Stegostoma tigrinum: one gene and its partners. The protein of the gene in region 1 interacts with the protein of each later gene in a pairwise test. Links are inferred from orthologs where the notes say so. Each region holds a gene or a part of one and is shown on either strand. Other genes may lie near its edges. The genes, in order: zgpat, dhx15, ccdc57 and lzts2a.

What was found.
Region 2: the proteins of zgpat (region 1) and dhx15 interact in binary tests that used the Homo sapiens proteins (3 or more experiments, as listed by UniProt). The two-hybrid records come from large-scale screens. The link is inferred for Stegostoma tigrinum from reciprocal best matches to the Homo sapiens genes ZGPAT and DHX15.
Region 3: the proteins of zgpat (region 1) and ccdc57 interact in binary tests that used the Homo sapiens proteins (3 or more experiments, as listed by UniProt). The two-hybrid records come from large-scale screens. The link is inferred for Stegostoma tigrinum from reciprocal best matches to the Homo sapiens genes ZGPAT and CCDC57.
Region 4: the proteins of zgpat (region 1) and lzts2a interact in binary tests that used the Homo sapiens proteins (3 or more experiments, as listed by UniProt). The two-hybrid records come from large-scale screens. The link is inferred for Stegostoma tigrinum from reciprocal best matches to the Homo sapiens genes ZGPAT and LZTS2.

What each region holds. Positions count from the first base shown.
Region 1 is NC_081372.1:35,392,727-35,399,868, reverse strand, and holds the start of zgpat (zinc finger CCCH-type with G patch domain-containing protein), read left to right. Parts: upstream 1-4,133; 5' UTR 4,134-4,231; coding exon 4,232-4,776; intron 4,777-7,142. UniProt on the Homo sapiens protein: Transcription repressor that specifically binds the 5'-GGAG[GA]A[GA]A-3' consensus sequence. Represses transcription by recruiting the chromatin multiprotein complex NuRD to target promoters.
Region 2 is NC_081354.1:88,290,736-88,297,609, reverse strand, and holds the start of dhx15 (pre-mRNA-splicing factor ATP-dependent RNA helicase DHX15), read left to right. Parts: upstream 1-3,857; 5' UTR 3,858-4,071; coding exon 4,072-4,241; intron 4,242-4,272; exon of another isoform or gene 4,273-4,560; coding exon of another isoform or gene 4,561-4,574; exon of another isoform or gene 4,575-4,578; intron 4,579-6,874.
Region 3 is NC_081375.1:27,668,019-27,675,497, reverse strand, and holds the start of ccdc57 (coiled-coil domain-containing protein 57), read left to right. Parts: upstream 1-4,458; 5' UTR 4,459-4,499; intron 4,500-5,678; exon of another isoform or gene 5,679-6,092; intron 6,093-7,479. UniProt on the Homo sapiens protein: Pleiotropic regulator of centriole duplication, mitosis, and ciliogenesis. Critical interface between centrosome and microtubule-mediated cellular processes. Centriole duplication protein required for recruitment of CEP63, CEP152, and PLK4 to the centrosome.
Region 4 is NC_081373.1:6,413,841-6,421,119, reverse strand, and holds the start of lzts2a (leucine zipper putative tumor suppressor 2a), read left to right. Parts: upstream 1-4,278; 5' UTR 4,279-4,502; intron 4,503-7,279. UniProt on the Homo sapiens protein: Negative regulator of katanin-mediated microtubule severing and release from the centrosome. Required for central spindle formation and the completion of cytokinesis.

The DNA of each region.
Region 1 (7,142 bases):
TTGAAACCTGTACGTCAAATATTTAGCTAATGAGCATGATTTGGCTAACATCACAGGAAATCTAATTATCTTCCAAACTCTGCACCCATTTAAAGTAGGCACCATTTAATCTTGGTCAATACATGAGGAAGAACATAATAACACAGAAGGATGTTTTGAAACTGGTAAAGGTTCAGAAAGAGATTTACAAGAATGTTGCCATGGTTGAAGGGTTTGAGCCATAGAGAGAGGCTTAACAGGTTGGGGCCATTTCCCCTGGAACATTGGAGACTGAGGAATGACCTTATAAAAGGTTTATAAAACCAGAAGAGATGTTGATAGGGTGAATTGACAAGGGCCTTTCTCTGCAGTGAGGGAGTCTAAAACTAGAGGGCAGAGGTTTCAGGTGAGAGGGGAAAGATTTAAAAGGGACTTCAAGGGCAACTTTTTCACACAGAGGGTGTTGTGTGTATGCAATGAGCTGCCAGAGGAAGTGGTGGAGGCTGATACCTTTTTAAATGTTGTAATTGTATGCAGATGGGTAAACAGATGGGAAGGATTTAAGAAGGACGTGGGCCAAATACTAGCAAATGGGACTAGATTAATTTAGGATATCTGGTCAGCACAGAGGAGTTGGACCAAAGGGTCTGTTTTCAAGCTGTATTTCTCTATGACACACAAAATTACATCCCAAAGCTCCAAATAACTATAATCAATGCAGTGTCGAGCTGGAGGAACACAGAAGGTCAGGCAACATCAGAGGAGCTGGAAAGTCGACGTTTCGGGTTTACACCCTTCCTCAGGACTCCAGCATCTACAGTTCTTGCTATTCCAAATAGTGTACTATATGTTTTGTTTCACAGGAACACGATCCCAAAAAAAGAAACAGGACACTGTTATAAAGGTTTATATTATTCGTGTTTGGAAACGTAAGGCACTGTCGCTCATGAAATAATCTGTCAAGCTCTGGATTTAATGACAGCAACGAAGTATAAAACTTTTGAACATCCCTCATCGTCTCTTGTATGCTCTAGAACGATGGCTTTCAATTCAAGAGTCACCCTTTCGCGACCAATAACGCTTACTAAACGGAGCTCTTACCTTTAGACCTTTAAATCCATTTAAATCCTTCTGTTATGTACCAGGCTCCAAATTATGGAAACGACACAAAGCGGAAGTTTCGCCTGAACAAACCGGATCTTCGACCGCCCCTTAGGCATCGAAATGCTGTAGTTTTTCTGTCGCTTTGTTCTGAATGAGGGCGGGGGCATTAAAACGACAATACCCATAATCCTTCAGTGGCGGGTGGGCGGAAATGAGGTGGACATGCGCAGGGCGAGTCATCTGCCATTTTTAATTGTTAAAGGTTGCAACTGTTAAGTTCACCCCAGAAGTTGTCAGTTTATAGATTTTTAAATGACACTTTTCAGATTCATCTTGTGCGTGACATAATATCGTAAAATGCATATGCCCTGAAAACTACATTTGAAAAAATACAACTTCAGCGTAGGTCTGACATGGATATGTTTCCACATATGGGAGAGACCATAATTAGAGCTATAATCCCATCAGGGAAATGAAGAAAAATCCCGCTCCTGACGGCGGTTAGCACATGGAAATACTGACCGAAAAAATGTTTGAGGCAAATGCAGTAAACACATTTCAACAAAGGTTTGGTAAGTATTTGAGGGAAAAAATGAATAGAAAGTTGTGCTTTTAATGTGCATTGAGATGGTCGGAGCATGTACCTCTCGGGCTGAATGGCTTGATTGTGTACTCTGCAATTTATGCAATAATAAACTAAACAAAATGAATGGTCTATGTCTATTGAATATTTCTGCCTCAAGCTGCAGAGAATATCATTGTTACAATTTGGAATACATCACACAGATGGAGAATTTAAAAAGAAACTTCAAAATGCCATTGCACCCACTCTGGAAAAGGATGGATTGCATTTTAAAAGAGACTATCTTTAGTAGAACAATCAGCTGTAATACCATCCAAACATCAAGACTGCCAAAGGAACCTTGGAATACGTTCGTGGATTCCCGACAACTTCATCTTTACCGTCCTTTTAACATTTTTTTGGATGCTACTGCAAGTCAGCATATATATTTTGCAGGATTCAGAATGAGTTTTAGTTTTTCAATTAGTTTTATTATAAACTCAAGTATAAGCCTTGTTGGTTCAAGAAATCCATCTGGCTTAATTTTTCATATAGTTTTTACATACAGTCAAGCATATGCTGAATAGAAAAAGAATCTTTATAAATTCAAACTAATGAAACCAACCTCCGAGCTGAGAAGTGAGGAATTCACCTCTCGGGATTCAGTTTAACAGTGTACTCAGAAAATTCTAAAGTGCTTCATAACCAATTGTTGACTTTTGAAGATTAGAATTATTGGAAAGGTAAATACAATGATAACTCGTATACACTAAGATCTGATAGAAACAAACGAATGAATGGAGATAATCATTTGTGGTGGTGTTGTTCAAGTCTACAATGTTTGTCAGGGCAAAAGAAGGACCTTTGCTTTCCTTTGAGTAGTGCCCACCAGGGACCTTTGATGCCACCTGAGGAGACAGGTTTGGTTTAAAATGGCATCTGAGAAGGAAATGATATTGAACTATATAGGTTTTCAGTAATAAAGAAATGAAATAAAAGGGGTAATGTGGTTATGATATTAGACTCATAATCCAGAAAAATACTGAAAATCCCACCCATAATGACGATAAGTTAATTTAAATTTATTTTAAAAATTTTAGAAATAAAAAGCTGGCAGTAGTGAAAAGAATTATATAATCGGGAAACCAATCCCCCTGTGTGGCTTCCTCTACATTGGGGAAACCAAGCAGAGCCTTGGGGACCGCTTTGCAGAACACCTCCGCTCAGTCCGCAACAAACAACTGCACCTCCCAGTCGCAAACCATTTCCACTCCCCCTCCCATTCTTTAGATGACATGTCCATCATGGGCCTCCTGCAGTGCCACAATGATGCCACCCGAAGGTTGCAGGAACAGCAACTCATATTCCGCCTGGGAACCCTGCAGCCTAATGGTATCAATGTGGACTTCACCAGTTTCAAAATCTCACCTTCCCCCACCGCATCCCTAAACCAGCCCAGTTTGTCCCCTCCCCCCACTGCACCACACAACCAGCCCAGCTCTTCCCCTCCACCCACTGCATCCCAAAACCAGTCCAACCTGTTCTTCCTCTCACCCATCCCTTCCTCCCACCCCAAGCCACACCCCCATCTACCTACTAACCTCATCCCACCTCCTTGACCTGTCCGTCTTCCCTGGACTGACCTATCCCCTCCCTACCTCCCCACCAATACTCTCTCCACCTATCTTATTTTCTCTCCATCTTCGGTCCGCCCCCCCCCCCTCTCCCTATTTATTCCAGAACCCTCACCCCATCCCCCTCTCTGATGAAGGGTCTAGGCCCAAAACGTCAGCTTTTGTGCTCCTGAGATGCTGCTTGGCCTGCTGTGTTCATCTAGCCTCACATTTTATTATCTTGGATTCTCCAGCATCTGCGGTTCCCATTATCTCTGATATAATCGGGCTTATCTGTTTAAAGAACAGAAATCCTTCATGTTGTCCTAGCTGAACATTTATTCCTTGATTAAACAATTTTCAGTCACAAGTTTTTTTTAAATTTAGTCCCTTGGAAACAGATTAATTGATCAGTATTGCTGAAACACTAACTTCCAAACCATCAATTTGTTTGTTCCTTTCATTGATGCTCCACATTTTTCTGTTTTCCATTTGGAACACAGCTTTTATCTCTTGGCTGTTTGCGGTATCTTGCTGTGTTATTGCCTTGAAAACACGGCAGTGCACTTACAGAAAGTACTCAGTGATTAGTGTTTAGGGGTGTCCTGAGAACAGGAAAAATGCCGTTTAAACGAACTTTAGTTTATTTAATGAAATACGAGAGGGGGGGGTGTTAAAACAGAAAGTGGGCAGAAATTTAAGAAAAATAAAAGTAGATGACACCTAAAGTTTGCAAATAATGAAAATGATCCATGGAGGCTAAAAATGCAAGATTTTGGAACTAGAAGAGAGTGGGACTTATAATGTTCCCCATGTTCCCGGTTGCGAACTGAACTATTTTTCCAGCGTGAGCCCAGCCACAGGTCAGAGGTTGTTCACTGTCTTTTCCTTCCGGAGTTATTGTTCTCGTTGGCCATGGCGGCGGGAGCTGAACGATTCTGATCGCTGTCAGTGCGGCTCCGGAGCGCTGGTCATGGACGAGGCGAGTCTGGAGGCGGCCATCGAGGTGTACAAGGCCCAGCTGCAGCAGGTGGAGGCGGCGCTGGGAGCCGGGGCCCAAGCTGAGGCCGAGGCCCAGGCGGACCTGCTGCAGCTCCAGGCCGACCTACAGCAGCTGGTCGCCCTGACCGAGTCCAGCCTCCTGTCGGTCCGCAAGAGCCAGCTCCTGGAGCAGCTGCAGCGAGGCGCCTCGCCGCCGGAGCCCGAGGACCAGTCAGGGCTCGACGCCGAATACGCCGCTTTCCAGGCGGCTCTGAGGGAGGCCGACCAGGAGCCGGGGAGCGGCGATGAGGCTGAGACTAAGGTTGAGGCTGGGGATATTAGCGGCGCCAAGGTGCGGGCTCCGTACCGCTCGGCTTGGGGCCCGCTGCAGTATCACAACGCCATGGTGGTGGGTGTGGAGGCTGACCAGCCACCCGAGCCCACAGTCCGTGTCCTGTGGATCCACCCCACACAGAGAGCCATGAAGCCCTGCCCGTTCTACCTGAGTGGGAGCTGTCGCTTCCTGGACTCCTGCAGGTAATTCAGGAAGGGAAGGCTGAACTGAGAGAGAGAATAAACATGGAGTAACATCATCGAGGGAGTTCAAAACTAGGCTCCACGTACTCGTATATTCAACAAAGCATTCACGAGCAAATTACTAAGAAGTGATTTTACTATAACATAAGCAGAAATTGCTGGAGAAACTCAGCATACACATAGCATCAACAAAAACAAAGTTGCTGGAAAAGCTCAGCAGGTCTGGCAGCATCTGTGAAGGAGAAAACAAGAGTTAACGTTTCGTGTCCGGTGACCCTTCCCCTCAGCCAGACCTGCTGAGCTTTTCCAGCAACTTTGTTTTTGTTCCTGATTTACAGCATCCGCAGTTGTTTTCGGTTTTTATTATCTACAGTAGCATCTACGGAGGGATAACAGAATTATCGTTTCGAATCCAGTGACCTCTGCTTTCTCCACACATGCTGCTAGATATGCTGCTGAGTTTCTCCAGCAATTTTTGTTTTCATTTCAGATCTTGACATTGGCAGGTTTAATTTTAGAGTTTGTGTAATGTTTAACTCTATGAGGAGTAACTGAGACACGTAGTGTTAAAGAGATGTTACTTAAATATAGGCTAGTGCAGTGAGTATTGAAGGTATATTGATGTGATGCCATTAAGAAGGATGAGATGATGCTCATGTGGACTGCTACAGGCTAGTTGGCTAAATAGTCTGTTATTGTGCTAAAAATTCTGTGTAATGAATGGTTAGGTCAATCTGAAACCTCAAAGGCAGCAGAACTGTGCACACTAAGAAATGCACAGTTTACAGTCGTATATCTATTTAAATATGGAATTGTCTTAGTTTTCTTTTTGAGTGGCCACAAATCCAAAAATGATTTTCCTATAATTCAGTCTCATTCTCAGCATGAGAACTGCGGTGCTGCAAGGATCAGTGCTTGGATCCCAGCTATTCACAGTCCCCATCCATGATTTGGATGTAAGGACCGAATTTAATATTTCCAAGTTTATTCATGAAACTGGATTAGTTGGGAATGTGAGTTGTGAGGAGGATAAATAGAGGCTTCAAGAGTATTTAGATAGGCTGAAAGCGCATGGTACGTGGAATATCATCTGGAAAAATAGAAGGACAAAATATTTCTTACGTGGTGAGAGTGAGATGTGTTGATGTTCAAATAGATCTCGGTAACCTTGATTGAATGTCACTGAAGGTTAATGTGCAGGGTCACTTGGCAATTGGGAGTGCTGATATGTTGTTTCACCAGGATTTTACAGGAGTAAAAGTGTCATACTGCAGTTACATAGAGCCTTGGTGAGACCACACCTTTAATATTGTGTACAGTTTTATTTCCTTTTCTAAGCAATGATATACTTGTCATTGAAGTATTACAGCAAATGTTCACTAGACTGATTCCTTGGTTGGCAGAATTCCTTACTTAGGAGGAGAGATTGAGGCGACCAGACCTATATTTTAGTTGATCACATTGAAGTACACAAAATATTTACAAGACGTGACAGGTTGATGCAGGAAGGATATTTCCTTGCCTGGGACAATGTAGAACGAGGGGACAGTCTCAAAATAAGAGGTTGTCCATTTGGTACTAAGATGATGTTTTTCATTCAGGTTGGTGAATTCTTTTTTCATCAGAGACCTATAGAGGCTTGGTCATTGATCATATTCAAGGCAAAGAATGATAGATTTCTAGATATAAACTATATATCAAGGGGCACTTGGATAATGTGGGAAAATGGCGTTGAGGCAGAAGGTCAGCAATGATCTAATTGTATAGTGGAACAGGCTTGAAGAGTCAGGTCAATGCAGAAAATATGTAGTGGCAGAGGGTGATTGCATCTTCCCTAATCACAAGAAAACACAGTAATGTGGTGACCGATCAGTGAAAAGTTGTTTCCGTAAATAGATCGGAAGAAAATGGTGAGGAGCTTCTCTCATTACAGGCTGGCTGTCTTGTGCATGCAACTGATAGGCACACTCCTGTTAGCAAGTACAGCCGTGAGAAAGCTGCAAAGGGGTGGGAGACACAATAGGGCAGTGAGATCTACACAGGTGCCTGGGGAAGATGAGGATTGCAAGTGGATTAGAGGTAGAAGGGGTAGAGCTGTGCAAGGGGACTGAGTAGGTGGGAAGCTGGTGCTAGGGGTTTAGGTAGGAAAGGGATGTTCTGTGGTGATTAGGAGAGGCCAGAGGTATCTGAAAGAGCATCAGGTAGGTGGGAGTGACAGGGAGGAAGCAAGTGTTGTGAAGACAGCAGGTCAGTAACAAGGAAAATCACAAAATAATAAAACACTTGTAAATGAATATGAAATTCCTTTGCTTAATGCTGCATTTGTTCAGGACATATGTGAAGATTGCAGCAGATGTTGTGGTGAT
Region 2 (6,874 bases), on another chromosome or scaffold:
TGACTGGAGTGTCGAGAGGCTGAATAACAAGTGAAGGGATGACCTCCAATCAGATTACTTGAGACAGAGAGATCATTTCAAAAACTTAAAAATAAGGTGGTGCTGGAGACAAACCAAGTGATCTTTTGACCTTTCTGATTATAAAGTCTGTGCCTGGGTGCTCTCTTCACATCACCTGATGAAGGAGCAGCGCTTAAAAAGCTTGTGATTTCAAACAGATTTGCTGGACTATAACCTGATGTCATGTGACTTTTGACCTTGTCCACCGCAGTCCAACAGTGGTACCTCCACATCAATCACATTAGTCAGACAAGATTTTCCTCTAACAATCCATGTTGACTATTCCTAATCAATCGCTGCCTCTACAAGTGTAATCCTGTCTCTCGGAGCTTTTTCCAATCATTTCCCTAATATGTACATCAGACTACTGGGTTTGTAATTAACTGGCCTATCTCTGCTTTTCTTGTACAAAGGAACCACAAAAACTATCTTCCAGACATCTGGCACTTCATCTGTGGCCAGCAAAGTATTAAATATCTCTGCCAGGGCTCTAGCGCTCCCTTCCATTGTTGCCCATAGCAGCCTGGGATACATCTAATCAGGCCCCTGGAATTTTGCGCCTTCATGCCTCCTAAAACATGTAATACTCCTCATTATTCTTAACGTTCTCAATGTCCCAGCTAAAATCACCGTCTACAATGTCTTTCCCCTCTGCCTGTAAACACAGATTGCTCCTTTGGTCTCTAATAGACCCCACTCTTTCCCTGCTAATTCTCTTACTTTTAACATAATTATAAATTGCATCAGTGGTTTCCACAATACTATCTGGCTAAGGTCCCTCTTTGCCCTCCTACTTACTTTTTAAGCAACTCCCTACACTCTGTGGAGCTGGAAGTTCACAGCAGGCCAGGCAGCATCAGAGGAGCAGGAAAGCTGACGTTTTGGGCCTAGACCTTTCTTAGGAAATGGAGATTTCTGAAGAAGGGTCCCGACCTGAAATGTCAGCTTCCCTGCTCCTCTGACGCTGCCTGGTCTGCTGTGTTCCTCTAGCTCCACACTGTTATCTCAGACTTGAGCTTCGGCAGTTCTTATTACCCCTATGCTCTGTATACCTTTGAGGGGCTTCCCCTGTTTTTACTGCCTTGTTCCTGATGTGGCCTCCTTCTTTCTCTTTATTCAACTCTGAACATCCTTTTTTTAATACATTCATTCATGGGATGTGGGTGTTGCTGGCTGGATCAACATTATTGCTAATCCCTAATTGCCCAGAGGGTAGTTAACAGTTAATATTGGTGTGGTTTTGGAGTCACGTGTCAGCCAGGTCAGATGAGGATAGCAGTTTCCCCTCCCTCAAGAACATCAGTGAACCAGATGGGATTTTTCCTTGACAATCAACAATGGATTCATGGTCATCATTAGACTCCTAATTCCAGATTTTTATTGAATTCAAATTCCACCATTTGCCATGGTGGGATTTGAACCTGGGTCCCTGGATTAAAAGTATAGCGATAATACCATTAGGCCATTCCCATCCCACTCCCCTAGACAGCCAGGGTTCACTGGACTTGCTGCCTTGATCCCTCACTCTTAGAAGAACATGCTGGTCCTGAATCCTCACTGTACTGCTTTTAAAAGACTCACTTTCCAAATGTAGACTTATTGCAACTAGTTGCTTCCAGCCTATGTTTGCCAGATCCAGACTAACACTATTGAAATTGGCCTTCCCTTGGTTTTGATGCTCAATTTCTGTATTATCCTTATCCCTTTCCATAGTGACTTTTAAACTCAGAATTATTGTCACCATCTCCAAAACAATCACCCATGAACTCTTCAACCACTTGACCGGCTTCATTCCCGAGGACAACATAAAGCCAATAATCTTGCACACACCTAATTCTTCAGAACACAAGTACTGTGGAAAATGGTAAGTGACCAGAGTACATGAGAATCCATGAATACAAATTATCTCAACGTACTTCAGCAAAGGTCAAAATCAAAGATGACTAATAATTTCAGAAATTCCCTTCAAGTGTAACCCTGTTTCTCTCACACCTCTGTTCTTCTATCTCCCTCGGACAGTTGGGAGGCCAGTAGTATAATCTCAGCAAAGTAATAACCCTTTTCTCATTTCTAAACTCTGTCCAGATGGGCTCATTTGAAGGCCTCTTTACAACATCTTCCTTCATTACTGCAGAGGTAGTTTCTTTTATTGATAATGCCATGCCCCCACCTCTAATATCTTTCACTGTTGTGCCTGAAACTTCTATGGCCTGGAAAGTTGAGCTGCCAGTCTGGTCCTTCCTCCAACCATGTCTTGGTGGTTGCAACAATATCATATCCCACATGCTGATCAGTGCTCTAAGTTCATCTGCCTTATCAGTCAAGATCCTTACATTAAGACAGATACAATTTAGCTTTCTTGGCCTCTTGTGCTTTAACCTGTCTATGTCTCCTCTGCCTAATGGACAATTCTAGCATTCCTTCTATTTCTGATTGGAACTTGCTTCAGATTTTATATCCATCTTGTCCCCTGCCCTATCAAATTAGTTTAAAGCCTCCCCAACAACATGAACAAATTTCGCAGCAAGGTTGTTGGACCCATTCCAGTGTAGATGTAACCACCTACTCAAGAAGCTGTCCCAATGATCCAAAAATTTAAAGTGCTCCCTGCTACACCATCCCTTTAGCAACACATTCATCTGACATATCTTTCGAGTCTTATACTAAATAGCACAGGGCACTCGAAGTGATCCAGAGATTATAACTTATAACTTCCTCTTTAATCTTATACCTAATTCTCTAAATTCCTGTTCCAGGACCTCATTTCTTTTGTTCTTTTGTTCCCCAAGTCATTGGCACTGACAAGAGGCGTGACTGTTGGCTGTTCACCCTTCTCCTTCAGAATGCCCTGATAGCTGCTCGGAGACATCCCTGATCCTGGCACCACGGAGACAACATACAATTCAAGAGACTCTGGTAACAGAGAGCCACCTATCCATTTCCCAATAGTGGATGTGATAGTAATGTCATTGGACTTTGTAACCCAGGAGGTTGAGGTTAATATTCTAAGGACAGTGATTCAAAACCGACCAAAGCAGCTAATGGAATTTAACATTCAAATTAATAAAATCTGCAATTGAAAACTGGTCTCACTGGTGGTGACCTCGAATCTGTCATAGACTGTGAAAGCTCATCTTATTCACTATAACCTTTTTGGCGAAGAAAATCTGCCATTCTGGTCTGGTCTACATGAGACTCTGGATCCACAACAATGATTGCCATTTAACTGCCGTCTGAAATGGCCTACCAAGCCACTCAGTCCAACTGCGTTTATACAGTTAACAGACTTTGCTAGCCTGCATCCCATAGGATAATAATAATTGAAATATGCATGATCAAAAGTTATTTATCTTTGAACTGAACATGAAGTAGTTACATTGTCATTGTCCAAGTGAATTTTGAAAGCTCTCTGTTATGTGGTTGCTCACAAATATTGAAGAACCATGACCGGCAGTTCAGTTGAAGATTGTGACTATGGCTGTTCTGTTGTTCCGTCTGCATCGAGGAAAGAATGTTATAGACTGCTTTTAAAAACTTACAAAGGTCATCTCGTAACCGGTTTCAATTCAGGTCTATCAATTATTGAAACAACGGGAAAATAACCGTGCTTGTGTTTAGGACAGGAAATGAGGTAGATTTCAAATCTTACTCCCAGAAACGGTACATTTTGTGTTGACTTCACACAACTCAGGACAGTTTATAACATCTGACAGAAGCTATATGAAACTAAAACCGCAAGGATCATTCAATAATAAAATGTTAAAACATCTTGCTGCGGTTCCGCGGCGTAACCGTGCCAGAACGAGGTACGTCTCGGTCTGGGAGCCGCCATCTTGTGGAAGTGTTGGGAAGAAGCCCGGCATTGCGTCGGGGCCTGTTGCTGGAGGCTGCTCGTCTTATACATTAAACACTGGGCTGTAGTGGGGAGCGGGAAGTGAAGAAAGTAGATAGGGATATCGAGAGAGGTAAGGGAGACAGGTGCAAGGTGATCAGAGGAGGTGCTGCCTGCGCATGAGCTTCTGCAACAATCGGGACGGAACCCGGAACAGAAGGGGATCGAACGGAGAGACAGAATCGGAACGCACCCGGACCGCTCTAGAACGCGGAGACATGTCAAAGCGGCACCGCGTCGACTTGGGGGACGATTACTCGTCCAGTAAGAAGCGCGCCACCTCGGACGGGTAGGTTAATCCGCAGAGTGGGACGCCGGCGGGAGGCTGGCTGCATCTGAACAGCGGCTCTGAGCGCTAGGGCCTCGGCTGGTTTGCCGAGACAGCGGCCTTGTCGGTGGGGTCAAGCGGCGCTCCCTCAGCGTCCCGCCCGGCTTAGCCGAGCGGAAGGGGCGGCTGCGGCTCGCCGCGGTTCCGCTCTGCCTCTTGCGGAGAAAGCGCGTTAGTTACCGAGAGTGACTGTGCGTGAGAGGCCGAGGGCCTGCGGGTTTGTCCATTACCTCCCGCCACCTCCGCGACTTGGTGCCGCCGGCCTGCAACTTTCCTGCTCATGTCTCGTTTCAGGTAATCTGTTTTTTGTTTTGCCGCCGCTGTATCTTGCAAGGTTTCCGGCCGTTCTTGGCAGGACAGCGCCTTCCGTTCGATCCTGTAATATATGGAGCCTCAACAAGACATTGGCGCTGCCCTACGCCTGTTTCTGCACATGGCTGGGCCACGTTTCCGAGGCCGCACCCGGGTTTTGGGAATTTATACCGAATACCTCGGGGTAGAGGGGAAGACATGTACTGTTGAAGTTTTCTCCGTCGTTTTGCCATGCCCAGTGCTATGGCGGGAATAAGCTTTCTGCACGTTTACTAACGGTATCTTTTCGAAGTTATTTTCCTTATGTAGGTTCGTCCTGAACGTCTCTAGAAGAGGCGCAGAAAGAATGTCAGTTGTCCTCTTTTCAGAGATTAAGGTTTGGGAACAGTGGGGAAATATATTGATGAGGGAGATAAGGCTTATTGGTGTTTTAAAAATTTATTTAATCAGCGGAAAAGTGCGACCCCCCCCCACCCCTTCGCGGGGATGGGGGTGGAGAGAGGGGTGGGAGCCACTGGGGTTCCTAGCTAGGCCTTTTTTGGCAATCTAACCACTACTAAAACACATTTAACGTCCCATGAACGTGTAATTTCGTTCCTGTTTTCTTCCCCTACTTTCCCGAAAGTAGAAGCAGTATGGCTCCACCGGTGCAAATGATGTCTTGCCCAATGTTGCTCATTTATCGCACATTGACTGTCCACTGGCAATTTGTAGGTTAAACTATGGTTTAAGCATGGACACGTAGGTTAGTTCCAATACAGGAGGCTACTCTACCTGAGAATAATTCACTTAGTCCTGTTTTCAGTCCAGCCCATATCTGGTCTGTTCATGTAATTATCCATTTGAAAGTCAGTATCCATGAGTCAGATGAGCAATCCAAAGCCAAGCTCCACCACATTTGCATCCATTGCATTTCTTGATCCATATAAGGTTTCTGTTCATGAACTTTTAGTTCTTTTGTTGATCCCTTGCAGTACTCTGGATGTCTTCTGATTTTGACCCCTCTAACAATGAAAATAAAAAAAATCCCAATTTACTTTGCAGGTTTACTGTGATTTTGATCACCTCATAATCTTCTCAGGAGAACAGCCCATTTCTTTAATTTACCCACTTGACCCTTTACCCTGGAGTTCTGTCTTTTTCTGTACAGTCTCAAATACCCTCACATTTTTCCTAAAATGTGGGCCAGAATTGAACACAGTACTCAGTTGAGGTTGAATTAGTATTTTTTTAAAGCCGAGTGATGACTTCCTTACTCTTATATTTTGTCTCTCCCTCTTTGTACAACCCAAGATCCCAAATGCCTTATCAACAGTATTCCTAACATGCCTGAGCACATTCAATAATTTGTGCGTGTCCCCAAGGCTTGTACTTTCTTTACAATTGTACTGTATTTCAGTGCCTGTCCTTATTCTTCCTACCAAAATATATGACTTCAGCCACCTGTGTAGTAAATTTTGTTGAAGCGTTAGCTCAATCTAGTAGCCTGTTCGCGTTCTTTACATCGTCCTCACGGTTCAGAATACTTAATACTTCTGTGTCATCTGCAAGTTTTGCTATAATGCCTCAAACACATGTCATTAATATGGAACAAAAACAGTCATCATCATAATGGCCTGTTGAAAACCCCATTATATGTGTCTTTAGTTTGTAAAACAAGTGTTCTAGGCTAGTCTCTGATTCCATTTAACCATCTTTATAACTGTGTTCACTACTCCTCTTGCTCCAGTGGGAAAAGCCCCAGTCTGTCCCCGTAACTCAAACCTTCCATTTGCAGCAACATCCTGGTAAATCTATTCTGAGCCCTTTCCAGCTTAGAGTTGATCTTTCTTTGCATCATCTCTATAGCTGTAAAACTATAATCTGCATTCGATATGTGTACGTTGGAACAGGAAAAAAAATGTGGTTTGTGAATAATGTTGGAATAGCTGAAGGTGATGCTGGAACTGTTCTTAATTAAGTGCTCAAGACAAATAGAGTCTCATTACTAAACTAATAGAATATGCTTTCAAATCCTCTGTTTGGTTTTTACTGTTAACAGCAAGAAAGAAAAATCAAAACCCTCAAAGAAGCAGATAGAAAGCTGGATGTCTAGTGTCATGATTTGAATTAAAAAGAGGTTTGGAAAACTTTGACAATTAATATCTGGGACTTGTAGGTTTTGCAGGCTACCAAGCAGGATGGAAAAGTTTAATCCATGCTGATTTCAAATGAGATGATGACTGCAGGCCCGAGAGGTATAGGTGCAAGCTTGTAAAATGTAATTTGAAAACTGATGTCAG
Region 3 (7,479 bases), on another chromosome or scaffold:
CCCTACAATCATTCCTTAAATCTTTTCTGCACCTTCTCTGAAGCCTTCATATTCTTCCTGTCATTTGACAATCAGGAATTTAACCAAATACTCCAGCTGTAACAATTATCGGGTATTCTCCCTACTGGTCATTAAAAAAATGGTTTGCCCATGTTGCCTTTGCCAGACTTAAGTTCTTGACAGAACGCATCTACCTTGAATCTGTGTGATTTAAGACAAGAAATTTACAAATGTCTTAATCCAGCAGCTGCTAGAGAAATATCATGAACAATGGAAAACTGAATATGTGGCCTTCGCTGACGTCAACAAGACATCCGGCCAGTTGAGCAGAGCTGCCCACAGAAGCTGTTCGATGTGATCTCCTTTTTCCATGGCATGATGGGTAAGGTCAACTTTGAAAGGTCAACATCAGAACTCCTTGAGATCTGCAGTCGGGTCACAAGACATTCTGTTTTGGCATTGACAGTCTTTGGCGTATTCTTCTCCTGTGCCAGTCATATGCTTTGAGATTATCTACACACGGTGTCTACTTCAATATCAGAAATTATAAACCTATTCAGCCTTGATTACTTGAGAGATCTTAATCTCAATTCAGTGACACCTTTGCAGAAGTTCCCGGGGTAATGTCCTAGCTCTAAACAGCCTCATCAATGACTGAAGGTTCTGAGTCCTAATGCAGCCAGACCTGGACAAAATCGTGGCTTAGGCTAATAACAGGCAAGTAACATTTATGCCACACAAATGCATGGCAATGACAATTTCCAACAAGAGAGAATGTAACCATCACCTTTCTGATTACATCTTTCAGGTGTTATGAAAAACAGGAGGTTGGCCCCCACAATTGGGCTTTGTTGGACTCATTTTACTTTCATGAAATGAGAACAATGAGATTTTATACCCAGCAGCTTGCCAATTAAGTAATTAATACCATCTCCCAGGCTGTTAGCTAAAACCTTCATATTCTTCTTTTTCAGATTAATCAATTCCTTATTGAATGCATCACTTACACCTGCCTTCAACATACTTTCGGGCTGTAAATTCCACCTCTTAGCCATTTGCTGTGTGGACCATAAAACCTCAGAGCAGAAGTACACCATTGAACCCATCAAGTCCACTTTACATTCAATGAGATTGCTTTTGATTTGACAATCCTCAACTCTACTTTCCTGTTTTTTTCCCTATAAGCTTTGATTCAGTTTCTATTAAAAATCTATCTCAGCCTGAATATACTTAATGAACCAACTTCAACAGCCCTTTGTGGTAAAGAATTCCACAGATTCACTCTGTTCTGAGGCAAGAAATTCCTCCTCATCAAATTTTTTTTGTTTCTTTTTGTCTTCTATTGCTTCTTTTGTCACATACTTTAGGCCTGTATGCTCTTGATTGTACTCTGCTTCCATGTGTAGCCACAGTTTTTCCTCTCTACTCTGTCCAGATCCCTCTTGATTTTATACACTTCTACCAAATCTGCTGTCAACTTTCCTTTCTCAAAGGAAAACAGTCCCAACATCTCCAATCTTATTAATAACCGAAGTTCCACATTCCCAGTACCATTCATGTGAATCTTTGTTGCAATCTCTCTCACAGTGCTGAAGTTGAAGCTGAACCAGTATTTTATACAAGTTTAACATAACATCCTTTATACTCCTGCCACCATTAATAAAGTTTAGGATGCCAGTTATTTTATTAACTACCCTTTCAACCTGTCTTGCCTGCTTCAATTAATTATATACGGATATACCCTGTTTTTTCTATTCTTGCATCCTGTTCAAAATTTTGCCTTTTATTTTGTAGTGTCTTTCTGTGTTCTTCCTACCAAAATGAATCACTGATACTTACAGAATTGAATTCATCCATAATTTGTCCACCTATTCCACCAACTTGTCTATGTCCTCTTGAAATTCTATACTATTCTCCTTACATCACACAATACTTCTGCAAATTCTAACGCAACACCCTGTACACCAAGGTCTTTAATATATTCAGGGCAATTAACAGTGTAGCTGGACAATGAGCTGGGTCTTTGTCCCTGCATTCTCCAATCTTTCTGCTTTATTTTGTCAGTTTATAAAAAGTGCCTGTTCTCCCTAACTGTCTGCACTAGTCATTTACTATTAATTTTCAAAGTCCATTGTTAGTGATTCAATTTAAATGACATTTATACCAAGTAAAAAAATCTAAGTAATTTTAATAAAAAGCCAGTTCATTATTCTAATAGTAAAAGGGAAATTCTTAACTTGATTCCCATTTCCTACAATTTTGTTCTGTTCTCTCAAAGCCATTGAATTATGTTGAGGTGAAGTCTAAGTCACATAGTCCCAGGGGACCATAGGCTGTTCTCTCATAATAGAGAGGTGACTGGTGTTTTAATTTAACCTGAGGGTCAACAGGCTGCAGGCGAGGTTGCAAAGTTGGGGCCTGCATGATGACCTCAGGTGGAATGGGAATTGCTTCCATGGGTTGGTCTCCCTGCACCACGAACAAGGCTGCTCTTGAGTATTCTGCAAATGTACTCTTCATGTATGAGTCAAGGTTGCGAGCTTTGGCAGTCAACATGATCAGAGGGAGATCTTCCAGCTGAAGTCAATCTTGTCTTCATTCAATATCCAAATATGTATTTATTCCTACATGGAATACAAGTTAGTGAACAAGGTCTGGCAACAGTGTTTTCCCACTCACTATTTCAGAGATATTGAATCTTTCAGTGTCACTTTTACTGTTGTCTTACTTGAGATCAACCAATCCACCTGGGGAGAAAAGGGATCTCCCAGTGTGTGGTTTAAACACACATTTTGTTTGTAAGGGGCTGGCATCCTTGAAGCTGTTTTAATTTGGGGTATTTGATTAACTGATTTTAAAACAGCTACACATCTCCTTTACAAAGTGAGTTGAGAAAACCTTTTTTCAAATAATAAAAAGAACTGATGCTAGAAATCCTAGACAGACATAGAAATAGCTGGAGAAACTCAGCAGGTCTTACAACATCTGTGGAGAGAAAGCAGAGCCAATATTTTGGGTCCAGTTATGAAGAAGGGTTACTGGACCTGAAATGTTAACTCTGTTTCCATCTCCATCGATGTTGCCAGACCTGCTGAGTTTGTCCACTTATTTCTGTTTTTGTTTCAAACTCTTTTTTTTGTTACATGCAAATTGAGTAACAAAAGTGGCGTTACCTACAAAGAAGCAAAATTCATGTAATAATGAATCCATCCAATTGATGAAGAAAAAGGTAACTTTCATTATGATGCCTTTCACAACATCAGGATGTCCTGTATGGTGAGGCATTAAATATGCCATAAATGTGTTGTGACAAATATGGCAGTCATTTTTGTGCCACCAAATAAAGTCCAACAAACAGCAATGAGATGACGACTAGATTTTTTTGAACAACATTGGCCAGGTAAACTCCAATGTCTCCTTGCAACAGCAACTTCTACATCCACTGAAAGGGAGACGAAAGACATCATCAGCAACCTTCTAATTCGAAGATCCGAAAGCTGCTACAATGATTTCTCTTTTACTTTTTCCCCTGTCCTTTGTTTTTAAAATGACGTTGTCCCACAACTTGGATTTCACCTCCTCGGGACCTGGTCCATTGTTGTAACTGCGATGATTTGCAAAAGCAGAATTCTACAGGTGCCAGAAGACAAAGAAAAAAGAACAGAAAGCGCTACATGTACCTAGCAGGCCAGGCTGCATCTATGGGCAGAGAAACAAGATTTAACGTTTTGGGTCGGTGGCCTTTCAACCGAACTCGAATTATGCAAATTATCTAGCAGTATGAGTAGAGGATTGCAGCAAGAACTGCTATCGTTTACGCCCTTTCCTTTCATGACACACTTGTCGTTTTGTCAATATTAATCATATCATGAGAACTTTTTTTCTTGTCTTTGCATTTCTCTGAAGGAGCTTTTTTTAAAAATCCTTTCACTTTTTACCACAACGTTTAGTTTGTCTCTTTGTGCTTTCGCTCGGTCTTTTCCTTTGTTTCTTTGTTAAATTTCAAGAATTAAATTTGCTTTGCTCGTTCTTCCCTTTCTGCTTGTTTGCTTATTCATTCTGACTTCACGCGACTTTCCTAGTTTGTGTAACAGGAATGTCGTTGTAATTTATTGCGGGCGTTGTAGAAAAAGTACATGGAAGGAAATACCCAGTGCCTATAAATGAGTTGTGTATTCCTTTTATAGTAAAATACATCTCACTGCGCTGTGAATCAGCAGTCTTCCATTTCCCTTTCCACCACGCAAGAACGTACGATAATTTATCAAGAAAGACTCGATAAAACTGGATACTTTATTATTCCAGTCAGAGCCTTTTTTCCTACTTGTAAATTGTGAAATGAACTGAAACCTGAACGCACACGACGAGGTTTAGAAAACATATTCATCTCAGCGAAGCTCTGATGAAATTTTACGGAACCAAAGCATTGACTGTTTTCCTCACTAACGCTGCCTATCCCGCTGAGTGTTGCCAAACATCTTCTGTTTGAAGTACGAAAGGTTAGATGATGGATGGTCGTTCATGAGCACTTTTAAAATAAATGCTGAGGGACGTGCCTTTATTGTCGGGGGTGGGGGTAACTTGAACCTTTTTGACACGTGTATTCACAGTGAAAGAAATGACATCCCAGTTCTGTGAGAGAGTATTCTGTTGCAGACCTAAACGGAGAAGAACATGCAAAAGAGCTGATGCTTGCAGTTTCTCACGCATTTTCCGCTGTTTTTGGAAATGATCACTTACTGGCAAAGGGTTCATTGTTGGGAAATCTGGACCCAAAACAGAAAACGTGTGAATGCGTAAAGTGCTTTTTCATCAATGAGCAAGTCTTTGTGTATTTTTTTTAAAAATTGGATCTTTAGCATATCCTTGTTGTTACAGAGATTGGAGTCACATTGTGGATACGTGCAGACCAGCAGCTCTCTAAACAATTCAATACAAACAGCCTGAACATTAGCGAAGAGAGAGAGAGAGGGAGGTCTGTAAGTGTAGCCTCACTCCACTCCTCCTCTCCGCCTCCAAAATGATGGGGATAGGTCAAAGTGTTAAAATTCAGCTCCCTGTCTTATCTAATTAGGAATTATAGGCCATAAGACTATAAGCACAATTAGGCCTTTCGGCCCATCGAGTTTACTCCATCATCAAATCATGGCTGATACATTTCTCAAACCCATTCTCCTGCCTTCTCCACGTAATCTTTGATCCCCTTACCAATCAAGAAACTACTTATCTCCTGCGTATATTTTAAGAATCAACCACCAAAACAAAAGACCCAATAATCCAGTACAACTCAGTTTTTGATTTTTATATCAACCTGTTTAAGCGTTTCTTTACAACTTGAATCTAGGTCTAATGGCCCAGTGGCAAAGACGCTTAGCACTGTGCTACTGCCTTTTTCAAATATTTGTCTAATTAACCTTTAATAGAAGATCCTTTCGTAAAACCTTTGGGCTAATCGATATAAAATTAAAATACATTTCAACTGAGAGAATCATTATGGATGATAATCACTGAGACGACTAAGAAGAAGGATGAATTCTCTCAGCACTCTTGCTACTTATTTTCAACATGTATTGTGTTTAGTTGATTTATTTGAACAAAATATACATCTTACAAAGAAAACGGAACCATTGTTGATGGCACAAATACTCCACGCGTTCGGGGGACCCCGGAATGGATTTTTGACAGAAGCACCGCCGCGCGTCACCGTGGCAACGGGAAATTAGAGGCCTATTTGAACGGGCTTTGAATCGTTTTGTGACCAAAGAGACGAACTGAAGCATAATTGTGGAGTTACAGTGGCGGTTGGAGTGGGCGAGAGAGATGAGATTGGAGAGCGAGCTCAGAGATAAAGTCAGGTTTTTGAGGAGCTCGACATGATGCCGTTTCTGAACAAACTGATATGAAATCAAGGTTGCAAACTGTTTGATTAAGCATCATACAGTTCTCATGCAGAAAGTTGGTGTTGATCAGATTGTAACTGGGACTTAAAAAGCAATGAGTTCAGTCTTCGGACTATTGTTTGGCGAAAATCAATGCTGATCAAGAGCACTGGCTAGAGTTTATGCTACTTCCTGCTGTCTATCGGCATCTGGGTAAGGAAACCATTTCAGTTTAGGTGTGATGCATACTGTGAGGCTAACACTACGTCAACTTAGGGCTCGCAAAAATAATCATAAATTTGGAAAGATAACATTTGGTACTTACCTGCTGCCTGAGTCATTATTCCTAGTAATGAATCAAGAGCATTGATGAGGAGGATACCAGGGGTGGGAACCAGTAATAGCAGTAGTAATAATAAAAAAGAGGGGAAGAAGTGGTAAACTGAAGATTTGGCTGTTGGTAGAAGGAATTTAAAATATATTAATTAGATTGCATACGTAAAATATGTATTTAAATTCAAAAGTTGAAATGTACGTTTTAGATTATTTTTCTTACCATCAGTGTGAAGATGAGGGTTCTACTTCCAGTGAGTCTATTTAAATGGACACAGACCTCAATGGAAGAATCAAAGTAGCAAGAATAACAATGGATAGAAGAAGGCATAACAGTGTTCTGGTTCCATGACTGTTGGTGTTTATAAGCACTTAAAGTGAGGCAACTTCAACACAGGATCAAGATAACATAAAGTTGCGCACAGGGTTTCATAATGACAGTTCGAACTTGCCCATACGTACAACTGAGAAAGTCCTTGTATCGTAGTTTCTGTAGCATTAGTTAAACTCACCAGTGTGGCAATGGGAAAGTTGACATAGTCAGGTTTAAAGAGGGAAGACACATCTAGGATTCTACATTGAGTGAATCTGACGGAAATATATGATTTGGCATCAATTTCCAAAATATCTATCTTTCTAAATTGCAATTATGATGCCATCATTATGGTTAATGCCTGTCTGTGAATGCTATACTACGCTATCATTTACTTTTCAGACTTAGTTGCAGTGAACTGTGGGCCCTGTTGCCATGCATTAAATAGGATGGAAATTTTAACTGGAGAAATTTGGTTCAAGTTTGTAATCTTCCACAGTCTTCTAGATTCTGGACAGGCCCAGGCATTGGAATACTACAGATATACTGTTTGTATTAAACAGGGGAGGAAAATTAAAAACACAAAACTATAGACCAATTTGTTTAACATCTAGTTCTGAGGAAGAGTCACTGGACCTGAAATGCAAACTCTGATTTCTCTCCACAGATGCTGCCCGAACTGCTGAGCTTTTCCAACAATTTCTGCTTTTGTGTCTAACATCTGTGATTGGAAAAATTTTGAAGTCTCTTGTTAAGGAAGTTACAGCATGATATTTACAATATCATAATATAAATGAGCAGAGTCAATATGGTTTTATAAAAGGAAAATCATGTTTGACAAATATTTTAAGAGTTCTGTGAGGATATGACAATTGACATGGCCAAAGGGGAACCTGTAGTGTATTTCTACTTACAAAAGGCATTTGATAAGATATCACAGAAGTTTACTGTATA
Region 4 (7,279 bases), on another chromosome or scaffold:
CAGCATGGGCTGGTTGGATTGAAGAGTCTGTTTCTGCGCTGTGCATCACTATGTCTCTAGGCATCAGTAGTTTCCCAGTTTGCCCTTTCCCCTTATAGGCACATCTGCAGCTCCCCCCCCCACCCCTACAAGAGGGGGGGGGGGTCTCCATGCTGGCATCTTTGCCCACTCCAGAAGGGTCCATTGCATCCCCAGCAGAGATCAGTGACCACAACAAGAATGCAATGCCCCATGAAAAGGTGTCAGATCCTTTCCATGTTGCAGCAAGTGAAATGAAGATATCAGTCCTGGCATTGGAGCACAGAGTGCTGACTATTACCTTCCGCACCCTTCCTACGCCTTGTGTGAGCTTCACTGTCACTGCACAGGGACTCAAGAACCTACACCCCCACCCCGCAACTCTCAAATGACACCCTAACCTGCATATCCTTGCACCGTGGGAGGAAACCCATGCAGGCACAGGGAGAATATGCAAACTCAAACCTTGTCCTCTCAATTAAAAGACAAGTGTGGAGAACAGGCAGGCTATTCAAATAAATAATTCAACACATGTTGTAGCTTATAATTAACTGGCTCATTGAATAATAAGTTCATCTTGTGTTCGGACGGTTTCCGAGGGAAGAGATCCTGCAGCCTGGAGTGGCCCATGAAGAATGAAAGCCAGCCCTGATCCAGCTACATAATTGTCAGCTAATCATTTTTTCTGAGCAGACTTACCAGAAATCCATTAGCATGGGAGGGGAATCGGGGCACCAGTGAAAAGCATTGAGAGTTCAGCTCCAGATTAATCTTCAATCTTTTCATCATGGGCTCCACGATTCAAGGATTTTATTCATTAATTACACACTAAAGACTGCTCATCAGGCACTGCGTTAAACCACTCCTTCCCTTTTAATTGTTTCCCAGAATTTGCTGTTCCTTGTTCGCATTACAGACCCCCACAAACTGTTCCACTACAGCGTCATCAGAAACAGAGGAGGTGACGGCCTAGTGGCATTAACGCTAAGCCAGAGGTAAAGTTCTGTGGATCCTGGGTTTAAAGTGGAATTTGAATTTGAGTTAAAAAATCTGGAATGAGGTATTTAATTTCAGGAGGTGGAGAAACCCATCCTGGTTCAGGAAAGCAAAGTGCCTGCTCCACTCTTTAATCAAATCATGGCTGGTCTTTCCGTGAACGCAGCTCCACTTACCCATCTGCTCAGCAGAACCCTTAATTCCCTTTACTGTTCAAAAATCTACCTTTACTTTAAAAACACTCAATAAGATAGCCTCAATGACTTCACTGGGCAGGGAATTCCACAGATTCACAAACCTTTGGGTGAAGAAGTTCTATCTTATACTGAAGTTCTACCTTATTTCTGAAGAAGGGCCTGAACCCAAAACGTCAGCTTTCCTCCTCCTCTGATGCTGCTTGGCCTGCTGTGTTATCTCAGATTCTCCAGCATCTGCAGTTCCTACCATCTCCCTACCTTATGCTCCATGTAACTCCAGACCTACAGCAATATGGTTGGCTCTTACAGGCAATAAATAGAAGTGACGCTCACAGCCCATAGGGTTAAGGAGAATCCAAAGGGATTTATAAATACATTAAGGACAAAAGGGTAACTGGGGAGAGAATAGGGCCCCTCGAAGATCAGTTAGGCCGCCTATGTGTGGAACCACAGGAGATGGGGGAGATACTAAATGAGCATTTTACATCATGTTTACTGTGGAAAAAGATGTAGAATGTGAGGAAATAAATAGCGATTATTATGGAGGAGAAGCTGCTGGGTGGCTTAAATCGCATAATTGTGGATAAATCCCTGGGACTATTATCAGGTGTACCCTAGAGCTCTGTAGGAAGCTAGAGAAGTGATCGCTGGGCCCCTTGTTGAGATATTTGCATCATCAACAGCCATGGGTGATGTGCCGAAAGACTGAAGCGTGATTAACATGGTGCCATTTTTTTAAGAAAGGTGATGAGGAAAAGCCAGGGAACTATAAAGCGTAAGCCTAACATTGGTGGTGGGTAATTTGTTGGAGGGAATCCTGAGGGACAGGATTTACATGGATTTGGAAAGGCAAGGACTGATTAGGGAAAGTCAGCATGGTTTTGTATGTTGAAATTGTGTCTTACTAACTTGATGAGTTTTTTGAAGTAACAAAGAGGATTGATGAGGGCAGAGCGGTGGACGTGATTTATGTGGGCTTCAGTAAAACATTTGACAAGGTTCCTGATGGTAGACTGGTTAGCAAGGTTAGATCACATGGAGTAGAGAGAGAACTAGCTATTTGGATACAGAGATAATAAAGTGTGAGGCTGGATGAACACAGCAGGCCCAGCAGCATCTCAGGAGCACAAAAGCTGACGTTTCGGGCCTGGACCCTTCATCAGAGAGGGGGATGGGGAGAGGACTTGAAGGGAGAGGACAGAGGGGGTGGTCAAATATTGTTTTTCAGGCTGGAGGCCTGTGACCGTGGTGTGCCACAAGGATTGGTGCTGGGCCCACTGCTTTTTGTCATTTATATAAATATTTGGATGTGAACAGAAGAGGTATGGTTAGTAAGTTTGCTGATGACACCAGATTGGACGTGTAGTGGACAGCGAAGAAAGTTACCTCAGAGTACAAAGGTATCTTGATCAGATGGGCCAAAAGGCTGAGGAGTGGCAGATGGAGTTTAATTTAGATAGATGTGAGGTGCTGCACTTTTGAAAGGCAAATCAGTGCAGGACTTATACACTTAATGGTAAGGTCCTGGGGAGAGCTGCTGAACAAAGAAACCTTGGAATACAGGTTCATAGTTCCTTGAAAGTGGAGTCACAGGTAGACAATGTAGTGAAGACGGAGTTTGGTATGCTTGTCTTTATTTGTCAATACATTGAGTATGGGAGTTGGGAAGTCATGTTGTGGCTGTTCCGGACATTGGTTTTAGAGTATTGCATGCAATTCTGGTCTCCCTGCTATCGGAAGGATGTTTTGAAACTTGAAAGGGTTCAGAAAAGATTTACAAGGATGTTACCAGGGTTGAGGTATAGGAAGAGGCTAAGTAGCCTGAGACTGATTTCCCTGGAGCATCAGAGTGGACGGCTGACCTTATAGAGGTTTATAAAATGGTGAGGGGCATGGATAGGCTAAATAGTCAAAATCTTTTTCCCAGGGTGGGGCATAGGTTTAAGGTGAGAGGGGGAAGATTTAAAAGGGACCTAACAGGCAGGTTTTTCATGTAGAGGTGGGTGCATGTATGGATGGCAGTTTCCTTCCTTAAAGGACAATAGTGAACCAGATGGGTTTTTCCTGACAATCGACAATGGATCCATGGTTATTATTAGATTTTTAATTCCAGATATTTAATGAATTCAAATTGCATCTTCACCACCATGTCGATTTAGCTTCTGTATCAGACACTATTTGGTCCAACCTTGCCCCGTCCCACCTTCAAACCTCCTAAAAACCTATCCCCTTGACCACACGTTCAATGTCTTGTCCAGCACCTTGTCACCTGATTCAGTGTGGAATTTGACCTTGAATAGCCCTGTGCAGCCCCAGGAACTGCACTAAAGGCTGCTATATCAATGCAGGGAGGTCTTGATGCTGACAGTCTGCCTGTGGCACCATCTCCCAAACATTTTGTCCATGGGGGTCTGAGAACTGGCTGTCACTCCAAGTCCATCCAACCACGACTTTTGCCTGCCAGAGATAAACCAGAATGATCCATTTCCCCTACCCCGACCACTGTCCCCCCCCGCCCCGGGGCCACAATTCTTGTTCATTTTTGTACATCTCTCCAATGGGGTAGGAGAAATAAACAGTTGTGGGTCAATCTCTTAGGGACAAGTGAAGGGAAGGGTCTAGGCCCGAAACATCAGCTTTTGTGCTCCTGAGATGCTGCTTGGCCTGCTGTGTTCATCCAGCTTCACACTTTGTTATCTTGGATTCTCCAGCATCTGCAGTTCCCATTATCTCTCTCCACACCTTGTTATCTCGTGTATTTATTTATTGTTAGAAAAGAATCATCTCCATTTCAGCATTTTTTTCTGAAACGTGGGATTCAGTCTCCATTATTGCAAACTCCTTAATGTTGATGTGTCAAGTTTCAAACGTGAAACAGAGGGTGGGATTCAGCAACTGAACCAAAGCAGAACAGAACCACAGATTTCAGGGATCCAGGGGCTTCAGGAAGCACAGACTGGTCATGACTGATGATTTCCCAAGGCAGCGGCGATAGGTTTCTCCAATATCCCTCCCCTTGCAGAAGAAAAAAGGGGTGGGACTCTGACAAGCAAATCCTGTTACTGACAGATGCTGAAGGGAACTGAAGGAAGTTCTGCGTGTTTGTTTGTCATCGGCCCTTTTTCTCCCCACTCTGTATGTGCATATGCATCGAACAGAAACATGCTGGCCGGCTCTAGCGGCGTAAAGGTGTGGGGCTAGACCGAGGAAAGAGAGAGAAATTTGAACTGACTTTGAAAGCGGCTCGTTGGATCGCAACTGAAAGTAGGGGAGAGGGCGAGTCGATAGACGGTGAGTGTGTGGTTTAAGTACGGGTCGATAGTGCTTGTCGTTTTCCTTGTAAAACCACACACTTCTCCCTCCAGGCCCTGATATGTGTCTGTGGGGGAGAGAAAAATGACAAATTATCCTGGAACTGGGCGCAACAGCTATTTAACAAATCGTATGCATTAGTCAAGCCTACTTATATTGTTTTACGAGACTGAGAGTAAAAGTTTATTATCTCTCTGCAAACCCAGTTTATTTCTGCTGGAATGGAGTCTCTGAATTGCTTGGTTGGCGCGGTGTGTAATCTGAGGGGCAGTTTTGCTTCCAGACCACCCCTAACATGCTCCTGGCTAGGCTCTCACCCCTGAAAAGAAGGAGATAGAGAAATTTCTAGAGGTACAGAATAAACTCTTTGTTGAAAAACAAGAGAGAAACACGTTTTTTTTCCTCTTTCTGTGGAGAATTTCTGCTGAGCTGGATTCCAGGGTTGTGTTTTTAGCTCCTACATAAATTTCTAAATTTTTGTTTTTGCTGGTCGTGTTTTCTTTTTCTGCTGGCAATAACTTAATACATAAAACACGAAGCTAGCGAGTAAATTGGATCTGCGTTATTAATAATGTGTTTGGTGCTGTTGTGGTAGACTGTAATTTCCCAGAGGTGAAGGGAAAGATCTTGGCGTACGTTTCTGGATAATGTTTCCTGTAAAGTGGAAATGTACAGATACTCTTGATGTCGGTCTCTGTATAACAGCAGCCTGTTCTCTATTGGCCTTTGGTCTCCCGGGTAGGGGAGTTGTGTTCAAAGTGGTCTGACCACACCCCCTTCCCCATTGCAATTGCTGCACCCCTCATTAAATCAGAAAGACTTGTTTATTGCTGAGATGTTTGTAGGTTGGGAGGTGCCTGTTAATATTCAACAAGCTAGAGAAGTTGGTATGAATAGACTGCCTCTCCTATATGTGTGTCTCAGCTGGGGCTCAGTGGGTGACTCTCACACTCTTGAGTCACAAAGTTGCGGGCTCAAGCATCTCTGCTGCGTGCCACAGTCGAGACCAACGCTTGGGTCCCAATGTTTGGATGAGACGTTGAGCTATGGTACCGCCTGCCCTCTCAGATGGACAGTAAAGGATTGAGGCAGGTTTCGAACAGCAACAAGGCTGTGTTCGCCAGTGTCCTGGTCAATGTTCATGCCTTATATCGGATTATCGGGTCATTATCACACTGTCATTTGGGTGCCACATTACCTCAATACAACAGTGACTGGCAAGGGAGTAATTTAATTGCATACGGTGCTCTGAGAATGCCCATTGGTTGTGAAAGGTGCAATGCAAATGAAATGTACATAAATAGGAGCAGACCATATGTGCCTTAGTCTGTAAGGCTGATAAGTTTTTCTTTTGCAGAATGTTCCCCACAGCTCAGTTTTTCCGCCCCATTTCTGCCAGAGCCCTTTTATCCCCTAATGCTCACGTCCCAAAGACTATATTGTTCGTCCACGTCTTACAGGATCCAGACTTTCAATTACTCGTAACCCTCTAAATCCTTCCCACACCTCAGCCCTAGATAGCTGACCCCTTATCTTAAGACTATGATCCATAGCTTCAGACTCTGCAGCTGGGAGAAACAGTAACTCAGGATCACTGATAATAAAGTGTGAGGCTGGATGAACACAGCAGGCCCAGCAGCATCTCAGGAGCACAAAAGCTGACGTTTTGGGCCTAGACCCTTCAAAGAGGGGGTCACTCAGGATCACTGCTTCTTTATTAAACACGGGAATATACAGGCCCGAACTAACTTGATTGTTCCTCATAGCCCAGCACTCTTGTCCCAGGCATCAATCTGTTGAACCTTTGCATCCACTCCAATGCAAGCATACCCCTCTTAGGTAAGGTGACCAAAATTGTACCTTTGTACTTCCAGGTATAGGCTTTTACCACCGTATATAATTGGAGCAAGATGTTCTTGCTGTTACTAGGGGCAGCACGGTGGCTCAGTGGTTAGCACTGCTGCCTCAGAACACCAGGGACCTAGGTTCGATTCCACCCTCGGGCGATGTCTGTGTGGGAGTTTGCACGTTCTTCCCATGTCTGAATGTGTTTCCTCCAGGTGCTCCAGTTTCCTCCCACTGACCAAAGATGTTCAGGTTAGGTGGGTTGGCCATGCTAAATTGCCCATAGTGTCCGGGGATGTGTAGGCTAAGTGAATTGGACTTGAGAAATGCAGGTTTACAGGGCTTTGGGTGGGATGCTCTTTGGAGGGTAGGTATAGACTTCTTGGACTGAATGGCCTGCTTTCAAACCATATGGATTGTAATATTATATTCCAATTCCTATGCAGAGAAAGCAAACGGTTCAGCTTTCCAGTTGCCTTCATGCTAATGTTCTATGACTCGTGTAAAAGGATCTCCAGATCCCTCTCACATCAATGTTTACTACTGTGTTTCAAAAATTTGCTGCTCCTTCATTTCTACTACCAAGCTAGAGAATTCGCCTTTAGAGATAGTAGGAACTGCAGATGCTGGAGAATCCAAGATCACAAAGTGTGGAGCTGGATGAACACAGCAGGACAAGCAGCATCTCAGGAGCACAAAAGCTTTTCTGACAAAGGGTCTAGGCCTGAAACGTCAGCTTTTGTGCACCTAAGATGCTGCTTGGCCTGTTGTGTTCATCCAGCTCCACACTTTGTTATCTCGGATTCACCTTTTCCTGGATTATACCCCATCCACCACCACCTTGTGGAATCATTCTGTCACTATCCCACTGCAGCATTTTTATGTCTTGCACATTGCTTCCTATTCAGCTA